3 linked regions of the Drosophila melanogaster genome follow. The protein of the gene in region 1 interacts with the protein of each later gene in a pairwise test. Each region holds a gene or a part of one and is shown in the gene's direction. Other genes may lie near its edges.

Region 1 (7,226 bases):
ATGAATCACCTTGGCGTTTTTGAAACCCGTTTTCGCCCTCGAACTAGGCACAAATCGCAGAGGGCACAATTGGTAAATAACAACTTTTATCAAATGCCTCTCACGTTTCTCAAAATGGGCGCAAAAACAGCAAGACAATGATAGAAAAACAATAAGTGAAGCAAATCGCGCAAAAATGGCAGACTTTGAAAGCAATACGAAGCTGCGAGGCAAAGTGGAATGGCCGATAAGATAACGCATCGCCATCGAAAAAATAAAAAAAAACAAATATTAAACTATATTGTTTATCACAAAGCAAATGTCAATATATTTACAAACGCCCCGCAAATCAGTCAAGTTTTATAGAAATAATTTTTATGTCTCTATAAAGAGAATATTTTACGCTAAAATCGAGAGAAGCTTCTTTAAAGGATCAAATTTCTCAAATTTGAACCGTTATTTATTCTTTCATTTTCACTCTTTTCTATGCTTACAATGATATATTTAAAAACTAGTTTTTCAAAACCATGTCTGTTACGAATTTAATAAAGAATTAAAATAATATATTTACAAAGCTTCTATTGCTAGATCTCAGATTGCTTATAGTTTTATACATTAAGTTAGCCTCAAATAAATAAATAATATTAATAACCTTTTTTTTATTATAAATTTGCAATAAATTGCAATTTGGTGCAATAAATTCCATATTTTACCCAATAAATATTAAATATTTTGCAGTGATTTTGATCGTTAGAAATTTATTAAAATATTGCTTAGGCTCATGACAAAGTTGCTAAGATAAAACTAATACTTTAATAGCACAAATTATGCTAATTAACCACAATTTAATAGTATGAATCATGAACAAGTGCAAGAAACTGACTTTATTCACAACTTTCCTTTATCGCTCGAGCAGCTTAGAATATGTATTTTACTTTAATTCGAAGTTAGTGAGCCAGCCCTGATATTTTGCAATCTGGTTTAGTGGCTTCACGTGACCGACACTCCGATTGTTAGTTTGCTTACTAATTGTGTGATTTCTTGCAGATTCCAGAACAAATCACAATGCGCACAGCTGTTTTGCTGCCACTTTTGGCCCTGCTGGCGGTGGCTCAGGCCGTTTCCTTCGCCGACGTGGTCATGGAGGAATGGCATACGTTCAAGGTGAGTTTCAACCGGATCATCTAGGGATCATATTTAATTCGCCAGGCCGAAGAGGCAGATAACAAGTGTTCTCCGGTAACAAGGGCTTGATGTGTAATGATGATTAATCCATTAATTTTTTTTTTGGGCCTTTGTCTTCTGTCCGACTTTGTTTGCATAGTTGGACGCGCGGCATTCTTCCGTTTGTGACGATTCCGCACTTCTGACTTCTGAGTCAGCAGCCATTGCGAGTGTGAATGCACTGCTGCGCGGCTGCCTCAAAGAGACGGAAGGAGGATTCAGATAAGTCCAAAAGTCTAGGCTGTCGTCCAGTCACATGCCGGCTCACATGACCGCAAGCGGCAAGCTGGGCTGCTTTGCTTAGCCCATCCGTAAACATCGGCTGGATGGGCAGATAATCCAAGTCGTTGTGTCGCCCACTTTCGCTACGCTCGCGGTTCATTTCCCGCCGATAAGCCGTGCAAGACTCAAACTGGTCCACTGCCGGCCGACTGATAAGGCGCGGGTCGCATATTTGCCATCACACTTTTCGCAAGCCATGTTTCCTAATGCGACTTCGATTTTTGCCCCCTTCTATTGCATATATATGTGTGTCCATGGTTCCATTGATGATTGGGCCAATCATCCTTTGTCTCGCAGCCTTCACTTGCAACTTCGTCTGCTTATCAATGGTGGATTGTCTATTGATTAATTGAATGCGCCCCTAGTGTCGTCTAATTCTTATCGCCAACAGTCAGGGGTCGTGATTTTTTCCATTATTTTACTGAATAGTTCCGTGCCAAGCGTCATTAGCCCCAAATGGGGGCGTACAAATAATAATTAGCTGTTTGTGCAGAGATCTCATGTGATAAGGGGGATATATGTACATCTCTATATATGCATATTGGTTTAATAACTTTGGATATTTTGCCTTTGATGGTTTTATATTCACTTTTCGAATTCAAATTCAAATGCACCCGCATATGCAATATATGCATATAACTTTATTTCCCTTCCTTTTTTTATCTGCTGTTAAATATCATATTCAATTGAGTGACTCATTTGTTAGAGTAAGCACAGAGTGGTGTATTAAATTATTGTTTATAAATAACAAAGTCTGATCAACTGAAAGAATAGGAATCATATTTATGGAAAGAGTTACTCATCCTTAATTAAAAATAAAAAGAAAATCAACTAAACATTTGCAATTTCCCCACTCATATATTATTTACCTAACTAAATTTTCTTTGATCATCTAATTTAGTTTAGATTTAGTTTTCTTTTTTTTTTCAAAATAAACTCACAATTACTTTACATTTGCCATTTTACATTTCGAGACCGTTAGGTGTCATGTAGAATACTGCAAACGCTCGGTCACACTGCTGCAAACAGTGCTACCCATGCTTGCTTGGGGAATGAAAGGCGCGCAATTTAAATGTGATAACGATGCCAACCATTAGCTCTCACTGCTTATAGTTAGTTAATAAAAACGACATTATCTGTAATGTGTGTGCAGTCCAAAGTGCCACAGTTGTCGGTTGCAAATGCACAGCTGCAAAAGTCAGCGTTGAGCAACTGTGGCACTGATAAGCTCTAAAATTCCAGATTAATGCGTTTTAATTTAAGCAGCTATTCGCATAGTTCGGCAAATATTCAACAACAATATTTAAGAACAAGTCGTGCGGGGGGCCGCGAGCATTTTGGAAATGACGCGCTACAAATCGGCGTTGCTTATCAAATTGCCATTTTTCGCTGGCATTTCCGAGAGCCGAAAGAGATTTCTAGCATTAATTCCCCGAGTGACAAGTGCACAAACAAATCGGCTGCCGTAAATAAACAAGCTGGGAAAAATTTCGCTGACTTGCAAAAGCAGCATGCGGCTCTTTTCTTACATTTTTTATTAAAGATACATAAGTTTCTGTTTTTTTTTTCGTTTTTTTTTAAATCTGTTACTTCTGCTAACCGGTTGGAGCAAACATATTTGAATAGCTCGCCTGAAATCCTTATAAATCAAAATGAAACCGGTTCGCCTTTTTGAGCAAACCCACAATGCGCGCGCTGCAAAACAGAAGGAAATATACGAAAAAGCATAAGAAACAAGAAATATATAGAGTACGCCCGCCTGCCATCCTCCAAATTGGTTGGCCTACGTAGATTGGGCTCTCATTTCGATTTCGGCGATACGAAGAAAGAGTGTAGAGTGTGTTGTGTGCGTGTGTGAACTCGGCTCTTTTTCGCCCCGCCGTCATGCGATTGAGTTTGCGTTTGCGAGCGGACCACCACCATCACCACCACCACCACCAAAAGCGAAGCAGCCAGCTCTGTCGTATTTTTGTTATTCCCGAACCGACGCTCCACGCCAACGGAACGCTCGAGCAGCCAGCGGCAGGCAGTAGCAGCAGCAGTGCAGAGCGCAATATATAGAACATTTGAGAGAAAAGAAATAAAAGGAGCCAAGTCAGACGGGGCCCCCAGCGGTGGTAGTAGAAGTACGGAAAAGCACGCGCGTCATCGTAAAAAACGTGCTACGAAATCGCAGGGAGACGGGCGGTAATAGCAAATAAATTACATAAAAACCACGGAGGAGCAATCACAGCATAAGAATGACCGATACCAGTGCAAATAATTTGGATGTATCGGTGGATGTGGTCTGGCCGACGATAATTGTCCTGGCCATGCTGGTCATAAATGGCTTCGTTTTCGCCTACATTATGCGCAAGCGGCGGGAATACAAATGCCAGGAGGAGGAGCTGCAGCAACAACAACAACCTGTTCCACATTCCTCCTATGCGGCCACTTCGACAACGGAACGGCATGCGGATGCGGATCAGGAGGACGATAGCTGTGCCATCGAGATGGAGCGACTGTAGGGATGGAGATCGCACTAGCTAAGCTCTCTGATACTCAACTACTATCGTCCAAGCTTCTCAACTGCAACGAAGTTTCCTAAGCCACATATGTAGTATATCTAGATTGATAGATACAAAACGTATACGTCGAGTGCCTGGATATCACATCGGATCGCACGTGCATTTAATTACGGTGTTTTTAAGTTGTTAACTCTATCTGCATATATCGCAAATTCAAATTTTCTACAAAAGTATACAATAAATGTGTGAATTTTATCATGCGGCAACGAGAACCAACGACGTTTGCAAGGAAAATCAATAGGTCAGTGTGCCGGGAGGCGCCTCTTTTCTGCCGTTACCACCTCCTCCCTCGAAATCACAACGGGCGGGGTTTCATTTTGCTGCAAGACTCGAATTCGATTCAATTATGTCAATTATAGGAGTCAACCACGGACCAGTGGACCCCATCCGGTCCATTTGGGGCGACAATTGCTGATGCTGGTCCGCTTTGATGTCCAAAAGTAATTACACATGCATGTTTCTCACATGACAGCGCCACTCGACTGTTCAGTTCAATGTGCCAAGTACCCTGGAATATTGCAAAATCTACTAAGACTTGTGGTGAGCCACTTAAAAAGCGATTAGGTTTGGGTTTATACCCATATTTCACTGAGAAAACATGCCACTTTGAGTGCGTTGAAGAGTCGCAAAAAAATAACCAGTTTAGCAATAAACACTTTTGGAAAATGCATTTCAGTTTAGCATGTTTGCTATTTGGATATTCGTGAGCAGTAATAATGAGTTTTGTTGAATAATTCTATATACTTAACTTAACTTTCATAAACTTTTCGATTCTATGCAAAGCCGCTAATTTGGTATTCAGACAAGAGGAAGTCAATTTTTATTCACAAATTTCACTTTGAATCGAAAACTACCCCCATATAGTGGCATTTGCCGAATCTAATGGATAGCAACCTAGTCGACTTCTTGCCCTGGCCTTTCAATTCCCTTTATAGCTATCATTTGTTTAGCGTTCGTGCTATTTTCGTGCTGTGGCTGTGTCAATATGCGGGTCGGACTAACAAACAACCCCGAGCTGGGAGAGGAGGTCTCTTATCCACGGGACCACTGCAGGCAGATGGAGCGCATTTCCTCGTGCTGGCCTCGCTTCTCCTATTCCTACCTGCAGTTTGGCTCGTTTGTTTACTACCTGGAACATTAACACCCGTTTCAAGTTCCTGTCGTTGGGCAATCGTTAAACACAATTTTATGACCATGTTTTATAGATTTATAGAGCTTGCTACTGTGGCCGTTCCTCTAGAGCGTTTCGCTCGTGCCAGGTTGACGGCGCTGTGATAAGGTGTAATCTGCAGATTAAGAACTTTTGCCTCAGCGATCGTAAATCCATTTTACGTAAAACATTTTATTTGATTTTTAATAGAGTTCCCAAAAATGCGTCTAAAAAGTTAACTTTTCATTTGGTTGGCTTTATCTTATCTTGAAACAAGTACACGAAAGTCAATCGATAGTAGCACTTACCTTTGATAAGAGTGCATTATCTAACTAATACTAATACTTTTCATTATGCAGCTGGAGCACCGCAAGAACTATCAGGATGAAACCGAGGAGCGTTTCCGCCTCAAGATCTTCAATGAGAACAAGCACAAGATTGCCAAGCACAACCAGCGATTCGCCGAGGGCAAGGTGAGCTTCAAACTGGCGGTCAATAAGTACGCCGATTTGCTGCACCACGAATTCCGTCAGCTGATGAACGGCTTCAACTACACTCTGCACAAGCAACTGCGGTAAGTTGGGATCGTTAAGGATTATAATGTGCACATATTCAACTTTGCATTCGCTTTCAGTGCCGCCGATGAAAGCTTCAAGGGAGTCACCTTCATCTCGCCGGCTCATGTGACGCTGCCCAAATCTGTGGACTGGCGCACCAAGGGAGCTGTGACCGCCGTCAAGGATCAGGGACACTGCGGCAGCTGCTGGGCCTTCTCCAGCACAGGCGCCCTCGAGGGTCAGCATTTCCGCAAGTCCGGTGTCCTCGTCTCGCTGTCCGAGCAGAATCTGGTCGATTGCTCCACCAAGTACGGCAACAATGGATGCAACGGCGGTCTCATGGACAATGCCTTCCGCTATATTAAGGATAATGGAGGCATCGATACCGAGAAGTCCTATCCCTACGAGGCCATCGATGACTCGTGCCACTTTAACAAGGGCACAGTCGGAGCCACCGATCGTGGATTCACCGATATTCCCCAGGGTGATGAGAAGAAGATGGCCGAGGCTGTGGCCACCGTTGGTCCCGTTTCCGTCGCCATCGATGCCTCCCACGAGTCGTTCCAGTTCTACTCGGAGGGCGTCTACAACGAGCCGCAGTGTGATGCCCAGAATCTGGATCACGGTGTGCTGGTCGTTGGCTTCGGCACCGACGAGTCCGGCGAGGATTACTGGCTGGTGAAGAACTCGTGGGGCACCACCTGGGGCGACAAGGGCTTCATCAAGATGCTGCGCAACAAGGAGAACCAGTGCGGCATCGCTAGCGCCTCCAGCTATCCCCTGGTCTAGAGCAGAACTGATGTAGTTTAGCCCCAGCATTCATATGATATGATTTAGAAAAGAAACAGAAAAGATACCAACGCAAGCATCTCAAAAATGAACTTTAATAATTTAGCCCAACCTCATATTTAATGAACTAATTTTGTAATGGGTCCATTGTATTCGCGTTTCTCTGCCATCATGTATGATATAGGTGAACAACAAATCTGTTGATGTTTGTAGAAAAATAAATAAAAATTATATAATTTTAAAAATTGAAGTTTTTGAATTGGGAGAGAAGTTATTTTGGCAAATCAAAGTTTTGCAGTCAACTAAGTTTGGTTTCTTTTCACTCAAGACATCCCTTAAAAATATATTTTATGTATTTTGCTTTGAATTTGTAATATTTGATTACTTATTCACAATTTTTAGTTTTGATTTAAAAAATACATTTCAATTCATACAATTTCATACAATTTCTGTTCAACACTTTCGCTTTCCGGCAGATGGCGCCAGGTGGTTATCCAACAGCTCTGTTAGTGTGCGCCTAACAGCACAGTCCGTGCTGCTGAAGCCTTGCGACTGCTGTAGAAAATTATCGATATGTTAACATAACATCTGATAACATAACATAACTTCCAAGTTATAACAAAAAATGCAATAAATAGTTGCATCGAATCAATAAAGTCCCTCCAATATGCTTCTGAC
Region 2 (6,665 bases), on another chromosome or scaffold:
AGTTGCATTTTGCGTTTGCAATTTAATCATAATTATACTGCGCATAATGCGAAACACTCACGCATTTGCCAACACTTGAGGCACAAATTTTCATCGCATCCGTTCTGGAAAATCTGCTCGTTTTTCTAGGACTACGAGTATCTGTGTGCGCAGCGGCAAATTGAAAACTCTTAATGTCGTTTGTGATTTGATCAGGGCACCTCGTTAGTTTGGGCCCGCGGCGAAAAGGGAAGGCAGCCAGTTGGCAACTGCTAACTGATAATTTGATTATTATTATTATATATCTATGTAATATGCAGCGGGCTGCTGTGTGCATGTGTGTGCCTTGTGTGCGCTTGTGTGTGCGTGCGGGTGTGGCCAATCATCAGCTCGGATTTCCATTTTTCCCGCTTGTTGCCTTGGGTGCCATAGATATGTGCATGCGAATCCGCATCTATGTATGTACATATATGTGTGTAAGTAGCAATTTCCTCTCACCCCGCATGTGTGTGTGTGTGTGTGTGTGTGCGATATGTGATGTCTTTGTGTGCGCTGCTCTTAGATAGATCGAAAATTGTTGCTAAAGTCACTTGTGCTGTCGTAATTTCATAAATTGCGTAATTGCATTGCCATTGGAGGAAAGGGAAAATGCGATAGGGAGTGAAAGATGGTGCAGTGTTTGATTAAAAATAACTTATTCCCAAATGATGTCTAATTTGCATCGGTTACAAGCGAAAGAAAACTTGCTTGTTTATTGAAGCCAGAAAAGTTCTCATTTCCATGTGATGCGCAATATTTCGTAGCATACTTTCAGGCTCTTAATTGGTGCATTTCCAATGCATTGCAATGCCACGCGCACAAAACGAGCATACTTATTCATTATTTGTCACATCAATTTAATTGATACTGAAAATAATATAGAAAGGGCAAGGTGTACCTTTATTTGGCCCACTCGTATTTCCGAGAATCGAAACCACAATTAGGATCCAGCCAACCGAGCTGAACTGAAGATGGCCTCGCCTTTTGTTAACCGAATGCACACACTCGGTTGCCATATCGAGTGCATATATATTATTTACCAAACATGTACTTGAGTTATCACCGATACCGTATGCAAACGTAAATTTCCTTTGGCTTTTTGACTACGTGGTCATTGGTCTACGTGCCAATCCAATTTCCTCGGCACATTGACTGTGGCTTTTCCTTGGCACGCTTTCAATTCGAATTTGCCGACATCGAAATGCAAAAAAACAAAAAAAAAATCAGAAAAAAATATAGAGGAAAACAATTGGGGTGCCAGCGACTCGGGACCCCTGCACCTGTAACTGGCTTTTCCGTAATGGCAGACAACTTTTCAGAGCAGCGCCAGCAGAGCGAAGCGTTTACATAAGTGGCAAGTACGGAGTCGTAAATCGTGGCAAATCGAGTTCGGTGTTCCTCTGTTTCCCTGGACCACCTGGCCAAGTGAATTGATCAAAAATCACGCGAAGGAAATTGCTTTAAAATGTGCAGCGGCAGCTGAATTCAGCGAAGAGCAGATACTGAAAATGAAGTGGAAAAATCGCAGGGAGCTTGTGAAAAGTGTGTACAATTCGGGGGAAACGGGCCAATGAAATGCCAATTAAATTGATTTGAGACTCAACCAATTTTTTTTTTCTTTTCCATATACTCGTAGGAGGTCATTAATGAGGTCTATAGGAAAATGTATTTTCGTTGATTGATTGACGGATTGATTGGCAATTCATTAGCATAAATTACCCGCAGAAACCGAACTTAAAGTGAAAGTACCACCAGCGAAAGCTTAATGCCCTTCGAATCTAGTTATGCTTCGGGCTTTAAATAATATTTTCATTTCAAGTAAATTCGTTTACAACATCATTGAAAGCTGTCGAAGAACAGCAGCTCCATGCACCACAACTGAGATGACAGTAAGCTCGCGAATATGAGATGAGCCTCCAGACAAAGAGATACAGATAGCAAATAAAGGATATTTAAAGAATGGCGGCAAGGACATCCTGTTGCACTTGGCCCATTTGATTGATGACGTTGGCACTTGAGTGCACACGATAATCATTTATAAGGCGCATAAATGTTCTGTTCCCCGGGGGGGAAAAAGCTGGAAAATCCGAGGGGGGAAATGGGGGTGGTTGTCAGCTGGCGGATAAAAAGCGCCCAAAGTCGAAGGGAATATCAGATTCAAATTCACTTGGCAGATATGCTGAGGTCGTTGCTATTTTTGGGGTATTTCGGGATTCGAAATTAGGGGGGGTGGTCTTGGTCTTGTCACGTCAGCTGCAGAGTCTGACAGCCACTGCACGAAATTTGCATTCAAATCGAGCCGTGTATCTGGGCAACTTAGTATCTGTATCTGACAGATACCCAGCTGGCACACTTCTTTGTCGAGGTTGAGAAATGGCTACGGCCCAACTTGCCGCTTTCTTTCGAACTTCCTTCAAAGTGCCTGAAACTAATTATCTGCCTGCTCGCAAACGTTTACTCCAACTTTCGTTTAATTGGTCATAGTTATCGCCAAGTTTGTCATTATTAAAGATGCTTCTGATGCATCTGAAACTGGATTTTTTCAGCCAGAACACTGCTTAATAGCTCACATGTCGCTTTGCCTTTGGTCCTGCTCCACGTTATCCCGTCGCCAAAGCAAACAAAATCTTGCTGATGCAGCAGCTGGCAATTACAGCGAATGCTTTTCTAATTAGATGCACCCACATTTTCCAATTCCCCCCGGCCCCGCCCCCCTCTCTCTCCGCTGCTCTACAACATGGGTGGAAAAGCGATGGAAATTGCCTGAGTGCGTAAGCGAAAAACCAGCCATGTGCATGAATCGTAGGCGAGATATATCACTAAACAATGCACTCTCAGCAACGTGCCACTGAGTATAAGTTGGATATTTAGTTAAAAACTATTTAGATGCTTTTGCTGTTATTCAGTGGTTTAAAGCGCACATTTATAAAGTCCTCTGTGCACTTATCGAATTCAAAGTCCTAAAGAAATCAAAGAAATGTCCATAGGTAATCATAGCTTTTTGCCATTGAGACTCGCACGCCCTCAAGTGTAAATCCGCTCTCCAGTCAATTTTCTTCGCTTTTCCGCCGCACATTTTCCCCGCTTGTCCAGACGATTCGATGCTTATCGATGAGCGCAAATCTCGTGCCTCCCATATTTATGTATATATATATGTTTATACATATATATGCATGAGCTTTTAGAAATCATGTAGACATTAGTTGCCCTGCAGTCGTCTGACTGTTTGTTACCCTCGAAATGGAAACTGCACTTTATCGCTTAAATTGCTCAAGTGCAGTTCATTTATGATTTTCGTGCTCATTTCCGCTTGTTGTGGCCGATTTCCGTCGCATAGATATCTCACTCAGCATTTTCCGCTCTGCATTAGAATATGTGAATCTGTGAAACTGTGAATGTCTCTGAATCTCAGTCAGTCGAGGCGATTGTGCAAGTGACCTTGGCCAGGAGGCGGGGGCCACCCATGCGGCCATTTCGTAAACGAGCCACCTCTCATGAATATGAGTCAATTAATATAACTCAATTTGATGTCGGGCCAGAGTGTTTCGACTGCTACCCTATACAAGTATCTATGCATTTTCAAGAACTTTAACAATTGAATGTGGAAAATAGTACATGAGTAGCGAGAAATCAAAATTAAATGAATGAAAAAATTGTATCTGTAATATCTTTGTAGCTTTGTATCATAAAATTTTTTTCTTTTGTATGGAGTAGTGTGTTCAAAGTTCGTCAAACTTATCTGGCCACCAAATGGTTTGTGTATATTCACGTATTCCGTATGATATGTGCTGGGCAGCTTGTGTTTTGCAATGTGAATCACGACGAAATTGCATTTGATTTTGGGAGGCTCGCATTTGCATTCGCATTCGGATTTGTGCAGCGATTTATCCGTTAAGTAACTAAATCAATTAGCCTGCTGTGCCGATTAAAATAACGAGAAGCGTTTCGGTCATAGCCGATAACAAATACGATTCGAATGGCACAATCTAATGATGCTGGGCATTAAGATACAGATGGAAATTCGAATGCACAGTGGTCCAAAAAGGGCCCAACCTCAAACTGCATGTCACAAGCAATGCCAGTCATAAAAGCTCGGCACTTCACACGACTAAAAAAGCTTTGCTCACCCAGTAACCGGTCACCTTGCCTTATGAATATACATATATTTAATATATCCCTGGAGGTCAGTGAGTCACACCGTGTTAGATTCACCCCTTGACATCCCCCGAACGAAAATTAGTATAATGTAACGAAGAAGCATTCACAATGAACAGACCCCCAAAACTACAGTTAGTAAGACAAGTTAATATGGTTTATTCATTTATTGGAAATTACAGCTTTCTTAAACTAATAATCCTATTTTTTATAAATACCCAGCTAAAGCTAATCTCCTTAATATTTATAGTTTCATTAGATACCATTTGAGTAGATAACACAATTTGTACACAATATGTACTACATTTCCTGATCGTTTCGTCCCACTGTGCCATGTGTTGCTCGCTCTCTGTCTCTCTCTCTCTCTCTCTCTCTCTCTCTCTCTTTCGCCCGCTGCTTCTCTCGCTCTCGCAATTGTAGTTTTATTCGCCGAGTGTAACGATGGGAGAATTCTGAGTATTTGTGTTGTTTGTATTACTTCAGTGGCATTCTGTGCGTGCTGGCGAGCGCAATATGAATTAGTCAGCGGCGCTTCGCTACATTTGCTACATTGGCTTTAATCGCTCGTTTCTGAGGCATCTATTCGGCTGGACAATCTGGATTAACTGCATCCAAAACGTATATATCTTGTATTGGCCGCGATGTCGTTGACGGGAACCCAGGACTACGATCGCAAATACCTGCTCAGCATGCCGGGCCTGTGCAAGCTGGCCTGTTTGGTAATTAGCCTTACACATATGTGCCATTGTGTATCGCCCTTAATGTGTGCGCTTGTATGTGTGCGTCTTTCAGCTGTGCAGCTTTGTTGGAATATTGTGCATCATCTGCGGACCGGTGCGCGTGAGCAATTTCCGCGGCAGTTTCTACCTGGCCGTAGTCACCATCGGATTCGTGGCCACCGGCTGCCTGCTCCTGGCCAGGTATCTCCGGTTGTGGCAGCGCCAGTTCTGCCGATGCGATCCCACGCTCTGGTCCCTGGCGGTGCACTCCTCATTGGCCCTGGCCTACTTCACGGCCTCCGGACTCGTACTCTCCCTGGATATTGGAGCCTATACGGCGGCGGCGGTAAGTGGCGTTCTCGCAGTTAGGATAAGTTCGGAAACCAAAAGTATTACGGCTCATTGTTTCGGCTAATGATTAAGCTAGGAAAGATACTGGTAAACGAAACACTGAGCCTCCAGTTGGAGCCGATTCATTCCCTCGCTGTGATGAACTCTCTGTAGATCCGTCTAATACACCCTATTCTTCACCTTTTTTTTTACAGTTCTTTGGCCTGACAGCATTTTGCATCAACGGACTGGAGGCCTATGGAAACTATCGGCGCAGTCGCCAGCGGGAGGTGGCCACCCAAACGATATAGACTTGGTTTCAGGTGCACGAACCCAGCTTTTGGTGGCTCTTACTACGTTAGGCTTACTCTGTGTGTGTATCTGTGTGAGAGCGAGTATCTGTGTGCGAACGAGTATCTGTGTGAGTGCCAGTGCGTGCGCGTGTGTGTGAGTTTGTTTTGAGAGAGCGAGTATCGCTTGCGTTTGCTTGAAGCATTTAAGTCTGAAGTTTGAAATTGTGGCAAGCTTTTGTCGCGGGAACAGTTACCGTATGTGTTATCTAATAGTCGCTAGATATAGGTCAAGAAGTGAAGAAGATAAAGCCAGTCGATCGCAGCAATAACGTAGATATAATAGCGAACAGAAAGCGAGAGAAAACCACTAACAAGAGAGCAAATTCCAAAGAGATAAGTTGTATTGTGCCTTCTGGCTCTGCTTCTTCCCTTCTTCTGATAACTGGTTAACAATGCGTGAATATATATGTACATATATATACCCGATTTTTTTTTTACTTTTATTAAGTACATAGTATTTGTGTGTCTCAAGTGAATATACATTGAAGTAGTTAGTTTTTAGCACAATGCTTTTCATGACCACTGAATTGTTGTATTTATAAACAAATAAATCGTTTGCAATGGAAGAATAAAACAAAAATACATAAATGTAATTTGTAAATGAAGGGTGTTTTTTAATGATGAGAGTTCATATGCGTAAATTGGGCTTGAATGTCAATTGTTGATCGTGCATATTGTTATTGATTCATTTACGCAAAAGGCCACTTTCCCGAGGCTATTGTTTATTTATTTTACTACACGAACTACTTTTGCGACCATGTTTGCTTGCACAACAAGCTATTTTCACCTAACATTGCCGGATAGAATTTTTGCAACCGGCGCTCCATGAAAAAGATATCGCCAACCTTTGTTTACCTTATCCGCATTGAAACTGAAAATAAACAGGTACACTATGGTGCCCCCCTGTCTGATTTTGCTTCTTGTTTCGTTTTCGTTTTGGTTTCGGTGCTCTGTAAGCTGTTGCCATTGTTGGCTTTTCAAATCTTTTGAACCACCCACAAACGCAACAACCATCATCACCCAACAAGCAGCACCCAACGCCCACAAAAAAGCACTTGGCTCGTCTATTGTTTGTGTTGTTTTTGGGGGC
Region 3 (5,965 bases), on another chromosome or scaffold:
TGTGTACACTGTCAATTAACGTGGCAAGATTATAGCCCGGCCAGAAAGTAATCCGCCCCAGGAACACCACCCACCGCCCGCCCATTTGGATATGGAAATGGGCAGTGGGGGCGGCGATTGGCGCTAACCCATAATTCCCACACCCACTTAGCGGTTCGATCGAACCAATATGAAGTCATTTGCATGTCGGGGGCCGTGTATAAAAGGAGTCGCCGATGGGTCTGGAGTCTGGAATCCGCCAAATCGTCTCGGAAATGAAGTTCCATCTGCTGCTGGTCTGCGTCGCCATATCCCTGGGACCAATCCCCCAGTCGGAGGCAGGGGTAGGTCCTTAAGCTCTTCTCTCTGCCGGAGGATGCCTCATGGATACTGTCCACTTGCAGGTGACGGAGGAGCAGATGTGGTCTGCCGGAAAGCTGATGCGCGACGTCTGCCTGCCCAAGTATCCGAAGGTCAGCGTCGAGGTGGCCGACAACATTCGCAACGGTGACATACCCAATAGCAAGGACACCAACTGCTACATCAATTGCATCCTGGAAATGATGCAGGCAGTACGTATTAAGAAGTTTCCATCGGCTGTGTTGGTTACATTATCAGCTCCTTCTTTCCGCTCTGCTCCTGCTTAGATCAAGAAGGGAAAGTTCCAGCTGGAGTCGACCCTCAAGCAGATGGACATCATGCTGCCGGACAGCTACAAGGACGAGTACCGCAAGGGCATCAATCTGTGCAAGGACTCCACCGTCGGCCTGAAGAACGCCCCCAACTGCGATCCCGCCCACGCCCTGCTCAGCTGCCTGAAGAACAACATCAAGGTATTCGTGTTTCCCTAGGCTTTCCATCCGAGGCTGCCAATGCGATACCAGATGCGTCACACTTTGGCATTCGGAACAGGTGACTCCGCAGCAAATAAAGTAGATATGTATATCTCTTGTCCGCAATCCTAAACCCACACCCAAGCCCAATCCCCTGACCAGATGATCAATAAAAGCTAGCCGGAGGGCCCCGTCATCTGTGCTGTATTTTAACTGGGCTGCGATGGATGGACGAATGGGTGGTTGGCTGTGGTTGTGGTGGGGCTTGCATGATCCGCCCCAGCAATGTCATGGCTATCGCCGGTTGATCTACATCCGAGGCGATTTGCTTGTACCGGATGTGCTGGACACGATTGCGGCGGGTATAAATTGCCCGGCGCCGATTGCTGTCCGTCCACTATTCACAAGAAGAGCAAAAATGATGCAGTGCAGCCGAATGACGACGACGTTGAAGATGACGAACCTTCTGCTAGCAGTGGCCTGCGCCGCCGTGCTGATGGGATCGGCGACGGCGGACGAGGAGGAGGGGTCCATGACCGTGGACGAGGTGGTGGAGCTGATCGAGCCCTTTGGCGACGCCTGCACGCCAAAGCCGTCGAGGGGTAAGTGCACCGTTGGGTTACTCACCCATCCTACCATACCATTCCATAACATACCATATCCGCAGAGAACATCGTCGAGATGGTGCTGAACAAGGAGGACGCCAAGCACGAGACCAAGTGCTTCCGCCACTGCATGCTGGAGCAGTTCGAGCTGATGCCCGAGGATCAGTTGCAGTATAACGAGGACAAGACGGTCGATATGATCAACATGATGTTCCCGGATCGCGAGGACGACGGCAGGCGCATCGTCAAGACCTGCAACGAGGAGCTAAAGGCCGAGCAGGACAAGTGAGTGTGGTGGGGCAATGGAGGACCCTAGTGTCTAGTAATTGTTAGTCCAGCGAAGTGTATTCCAGATGCGGAGTGAATTTACTTCAAAGCAAAAACTTGAAACGGTTCTAAGGCGAATTTTTCAGTCTTGCTGCATTTCGAAAATATTCTGCTGTATTCGAAAGAAAAGATAAGTGCCAGGAGTTTAAGTTGCCGTGTGTTTTGAAGAACCTTTTCGTACACTTCTTCTCAGGAAGAGAGTTTCAATATTTTGGAATACCTTTTATAGGTGGCCAGGCAACTGTGCTCCCAAAAGCTTTAAAAATTGTTTGAAATATTTTTAAAGTATTTCTGAAAAGGATCTTATTTGTTTTTGGTTTTTTTTCAGGTGCGAGGCAGCCCACGGGATCGCTATGTGCATGCTGCGCGAGATGCGCTCTTCGGGCTTCAAGATTCCCGAGATCAAGGAATGAGGCCATGGAGCTGCTCGCTGGCCCACCATTGCATGTTCTCCCTCCCTTTTTTTTTTGTTAGTGATTCAGTTCGATTTAATTACCAAAGCTAGAGAACTTGGAGTGGTTTCCCAAACTAATAAAGCGCCCAACCAACAAGTTACGAATTATGCATATTTATCGGGTGGGAATCACATATGTAGTACGTAATCCCGTAGTTGGAACTGCGAAAGATTGTGTTTTTTATTGTGCAAAAATGGGAAATAAATTACTGTATATATAGATTTATTCAAATCAATTGCGAGTGAGCAACTAAAACTTGATCTAGTACTAGAAAATCGTATAACTAGTATTTAATATATAATTATATTGCCTAATAGATTGTGCATTTTCGGTTAAAATTATCTGAGAAATCATTGTAGCTAAGATTATGGCCAAAATATGCGAGACACCTTCTTTCTACTCGTAGTTAAGATCTCAAGTGGTAGTTGGTGGTGGTGTCCATGGCGCGGAGATGTCCTCTACCAGACCAGCTTTACGTTGTTGCGCTCCAGCTGGCGACTGATGCACTGGTTGAAGAGGTGGGCCACCTCGCAGGGGTTCTTCGAGGAGATGCCGCGGCTGCAGGCCTGCGCCATGCTGGAGCTAACGGCGATGGCCATCTTGTTGTCCTGGGTCACCAGGCTGGTCAGCTTCTCCACCTGGCCAACGTTCAGCTTGTTGTCGGCGTCCATCTGGGTGCGAATGAGAAGTATTAGTGACCTTTTAGTTCTGGTTGTGACAAACGTCCGGCTACTCACCAACTTGATCTTCTTGAGCACGCACTCCACCAGGCACTTCTCCTTCTCACTTGGATTGGTCACCTTCCCCAGCGGTCGCTGGTCCCTGGGCAGCTGCAGCTTCTGGATGCACTCCATCCTGGCCGCGGTGACCAGCTCCTGCACCTGCGGCAAGTTGCGATCGATTACCGCCCAGATGGGCTCCGTTCCGGTCTTGGGCAGCAGCTTGGCGAGATCGAAAGCCTGGGTCTGGCCACGGACGCAGTGCGTCTGCAGCAGGACAGCGACCACTATCGTCATTAGCGGAATGGCTGCGACTGGAGTGGATGGCTTCATCTTGGCAGCTGCTTTCTCTTTGGCTCTGCTCTTGCTTGGCCCCTTGGCTTATAAGCTGACCCATGACCTCACACCATAGTCGTCTGCACATGGCATCGTCGCTTGATTTTGCTGATTGCAAGCATTTCTCCAGTGCCAAGTTCATCACCCAAGTTCGTCACCCGCACAAGTCACGCTCCAAAGACGATATTTGACATCGCCAACGCTATCCAGCGATGTGTCAGTTCACTCGAGACAATGACAATATCGGATTAATGTAGATCTTCAATCTGGAAACCTGATAGGTCTATCAAAGTACCAAGGTTTGTAAGGTATATTCATTTTTGGAATAATACATTTGAAAATATCAATGTTAATTAAAATGAAAGTAAGCCATTTGCTCGCAACCGAATTATTTAGATATATACATATATTATCAATCGGACTTATTTGTTGGATGATTTACCATGTACATATATGTATAATACTCGATCACACAGACTTCCGACCTGTTAAAGATCTTAATGGGGCTAGTAAGCCCCACTCAATCCAATTGGAATAAAAATTAGCATGCAACATGCTCACACGATGCAATCCGATTCCATCTATTGGATTCCACAATAATATAGATTGCGTGCTAAAATCTCCACTCGATGGATGGACAAACAGACTGACTGGATGGAACTCAGATAGCGATCGTTGGCACTCGGAATGATCAGAAAGTCGGCAGGCTGACGGGCAAACTGGGAAATAGGCGGACAGATGAAGGGTATATTATGGCCTAAACGGCCAATTTGGCAGGCGGCAACCGCAGTTCCCAGTTCGCCCAGTTCCATATAATTGTATAATCGCTCGATGGCCCCGCCAGTCACAATCACTCATCTCACCCAGAGCTGTTGATCGATTTAATTACAAGCGGGATTTCTCATCTCTCATTTTGCATTTAGCATTTTGCATTTTCATTTCCATTTCCACTAGCCATAGCCATTCCCAATTCTATATCCCCGGCATTTGCAGCGATTTCATGCCAGTCACCAATTAAGCAGGTAAGTGGAGATCGGTGGGCCATCTCATCTGGCAGCGGCAGTTCCAGCGGGGTGTCACTCGTTCACACGATGCCCAGTCGAGGGCATCTCCGCCGGATTCCGTCCCATCCCGTCCAGAGCGGCGGAGTGAAGTGGAGTGCCATGTGCCATGTGCTGCCCATGTAGTTCATAATTGCGCGTAATTGCCGGAGCTGCTTGAGACGCAGCTGGAGATCGGCGATGGATCCGATCTGCCAAATCAATCACGGGACTCGGCTTAGGCAATAGCTCCTATAAAACGCCGACGTTGCCGGCGATTCGCATCCAAGTCAGAGTTCGCACGTCGCGCAGTTCAATCGCAAATCGAAATGTCGCATCTGGTTCACCTGACCGTCCTGCTCCTAGTGGGCATCCTCTGCCTGGGCGCCACCAGCGCCAAGCCGCACGAGGAGATCAACAGGGACCACGCCGCCGAGCTGGCCAACGAGTGCAAGGCTGAGACGGGAGCCACCGATGGTGAGTCAGATGGTCATCAGTGCAGAAAATTCAGTAGGGAATACAGCTGTCAGCGTACCACTCCTACCTGTGGTGGATGTGTTAGGATAGTTATTGTGCAATTATCAATCATATGATATATCGCTTACAGAGGATGTGGAGCAGCTGATGAGCCACGACCTGCCCGAGAGACACGAGGCCAAGTGCCTGCGCGCCTGCGTGATGAAAAAGCTGCAGATAGTGAGTGCTGCTGCTCCGGCAGGAAGTGTGATCCACTCACCACCACCCATTCCATTCTCCCTCCCATTGCAGATGGATGAATCCGGTAAGCTGAACAAGGAACACGCCATCGAGTTGGTCAAGGTCATGAGCAAGCACGATGCAGAGAAGGAAGACGCTCCCGCCGAGGTGGTGGCCAAGTGCGAGGCCATCGAGACACCCGAGGATCAGTGAGTAGTGCTCGCCGGAAGCTGTTGGCTCAAATCCGGACTATAATCATGCTGCCATTTTCAGTTGCGACGCTGCCTTCGCCTACGAGGAATGCATTTACGAGCAAATGAAGGAGCATGGACTCGAGCTGGAGGAGCACTGAGAACAGATTTGAGACCCATGACGACCCCCCGTTACTGTATCACAAGCGCCCTTCTGGAATATAACCATCTTTTTTTTTTATGTGTATACTATGAATTAAGTACTTGATAAACTGAGAAACTGCAGGCTTGATTGTTTGTTGGATTGTGAAGGGGGATTCGTATGGGTGTGGTTATCCTCCAAGACTCCTCGGGACCCATAATTTACTAATAAAAAATTCTTGCTCAATTTCGACGATTATATTACAATCTTTATTATTATAAATACAAGTACATTTTTTTGTATATCATCTCCCAATCTGGGGCATATTTAAAAGATTCTTACTCACTATTTATTAATGCACGATGTTCTTCGTACCTGGGTTTCTCCAGGTGATATCCTGCGGAGAAGGGACCCAGCCAGGGATGCGCGTTCGCTCTCGGCTCCCCTAAATATGTCCTAGCTTAGCCGACTTAACGCAATCTGTCGGTAAAAATATCTATTTGCTCAACTTGGGCTCCTAGTATAGTATGCTGCCCAAGCCCAGGGAATTCGTGTCGAGAAGACGGCGGCTCCGATTGCGGTCCGTCTACGCAAGGCGAATTCTCAGGGTCTTGGGCTATGGTCATTAAACCTATTAGTTAG

Evidence for each region. The genes of interacting proteins can lie anywhere in the genome.
Region 2: the proteins of CG42806 (region 1) and CG12730 interact in a two-hybrid assay, tested with the Drosophila melanogaster proteins (one large-scale study listed by BioGRID).
Region 3: the proteins of CG42806 (region 1) and Obp19d interact in a two-hybrid assay, tested with the Drosophila melanogaster proteins (one large-scale study listed by BioGRID).

What each region holds. Positions count from the first base shown.
Region 1 is NT_033778.4:13,961,194-13,968,419, forward strand, and holds CG42806 (uncharacterized protein), read left to right. Parts: upstream 1-3,459; 5' UTR 3,460-3,725; coding exon 3,726-3,992; 3' UTR 3,993-4,262; downstream 4,263-7,226. Other genes in the region: CtsL1 (cathepsin L1), read left to right, coding at 1-72, 1,027-1,143, 5,562-5,776, 5,837-6,548; PheRS-m (Phenylalanyl-tRNA synthetase, mitochondrial), read left to right, coding at 7,216-7,226.
Region 2 is NC_004354.4:5,512,607-5,519,271, forward strand, and holds CG12730 (uncharacterized protein), read left to right. Parts: upstream 1-4,001; 5' UTR 4,002-4,814; coding exon 4,815-4,892; exon of another isoform or gene 4,893-4,894; intron 4,895-4,965; coding exon 4,966-5,238; intron 5,239-5,437; coding exon 5,438-5,533; 3' UTR 5,534-6,165; downstream 6,166-6,665.
Region 3 is NC_004354.4:20,415,515-20,421,479, forward strand, and holds Obp19d (Odorant-binding protein 19d), read left to right. Parts: upstream 1-4,098; 5' UTR 4,099-4,623; coding exon 4,624-4,771; intron 4,772-4,901; coding exon 4,902-4,990; intron 4,991-5,062; coding exon 5,063-5,199; intron 5,200-5,263; coding exon 5,264-5,342; 3' UTR 5,343-5,465; downstream 5,466-5,965. Other genes in the region: Obp19a (Odorant-binding protein 19a), read left to right, coding at 255-323, 384-551, 627-830; Obp19b (Odorant-binding protein 19b), read left to right, coding at 1,231-1,414, 1,480-1,702, 2,073-2,157; Obp19c (Odorant-binding protein 19c), read right to left, coding at 2,658-2,870, 2,937-3,251.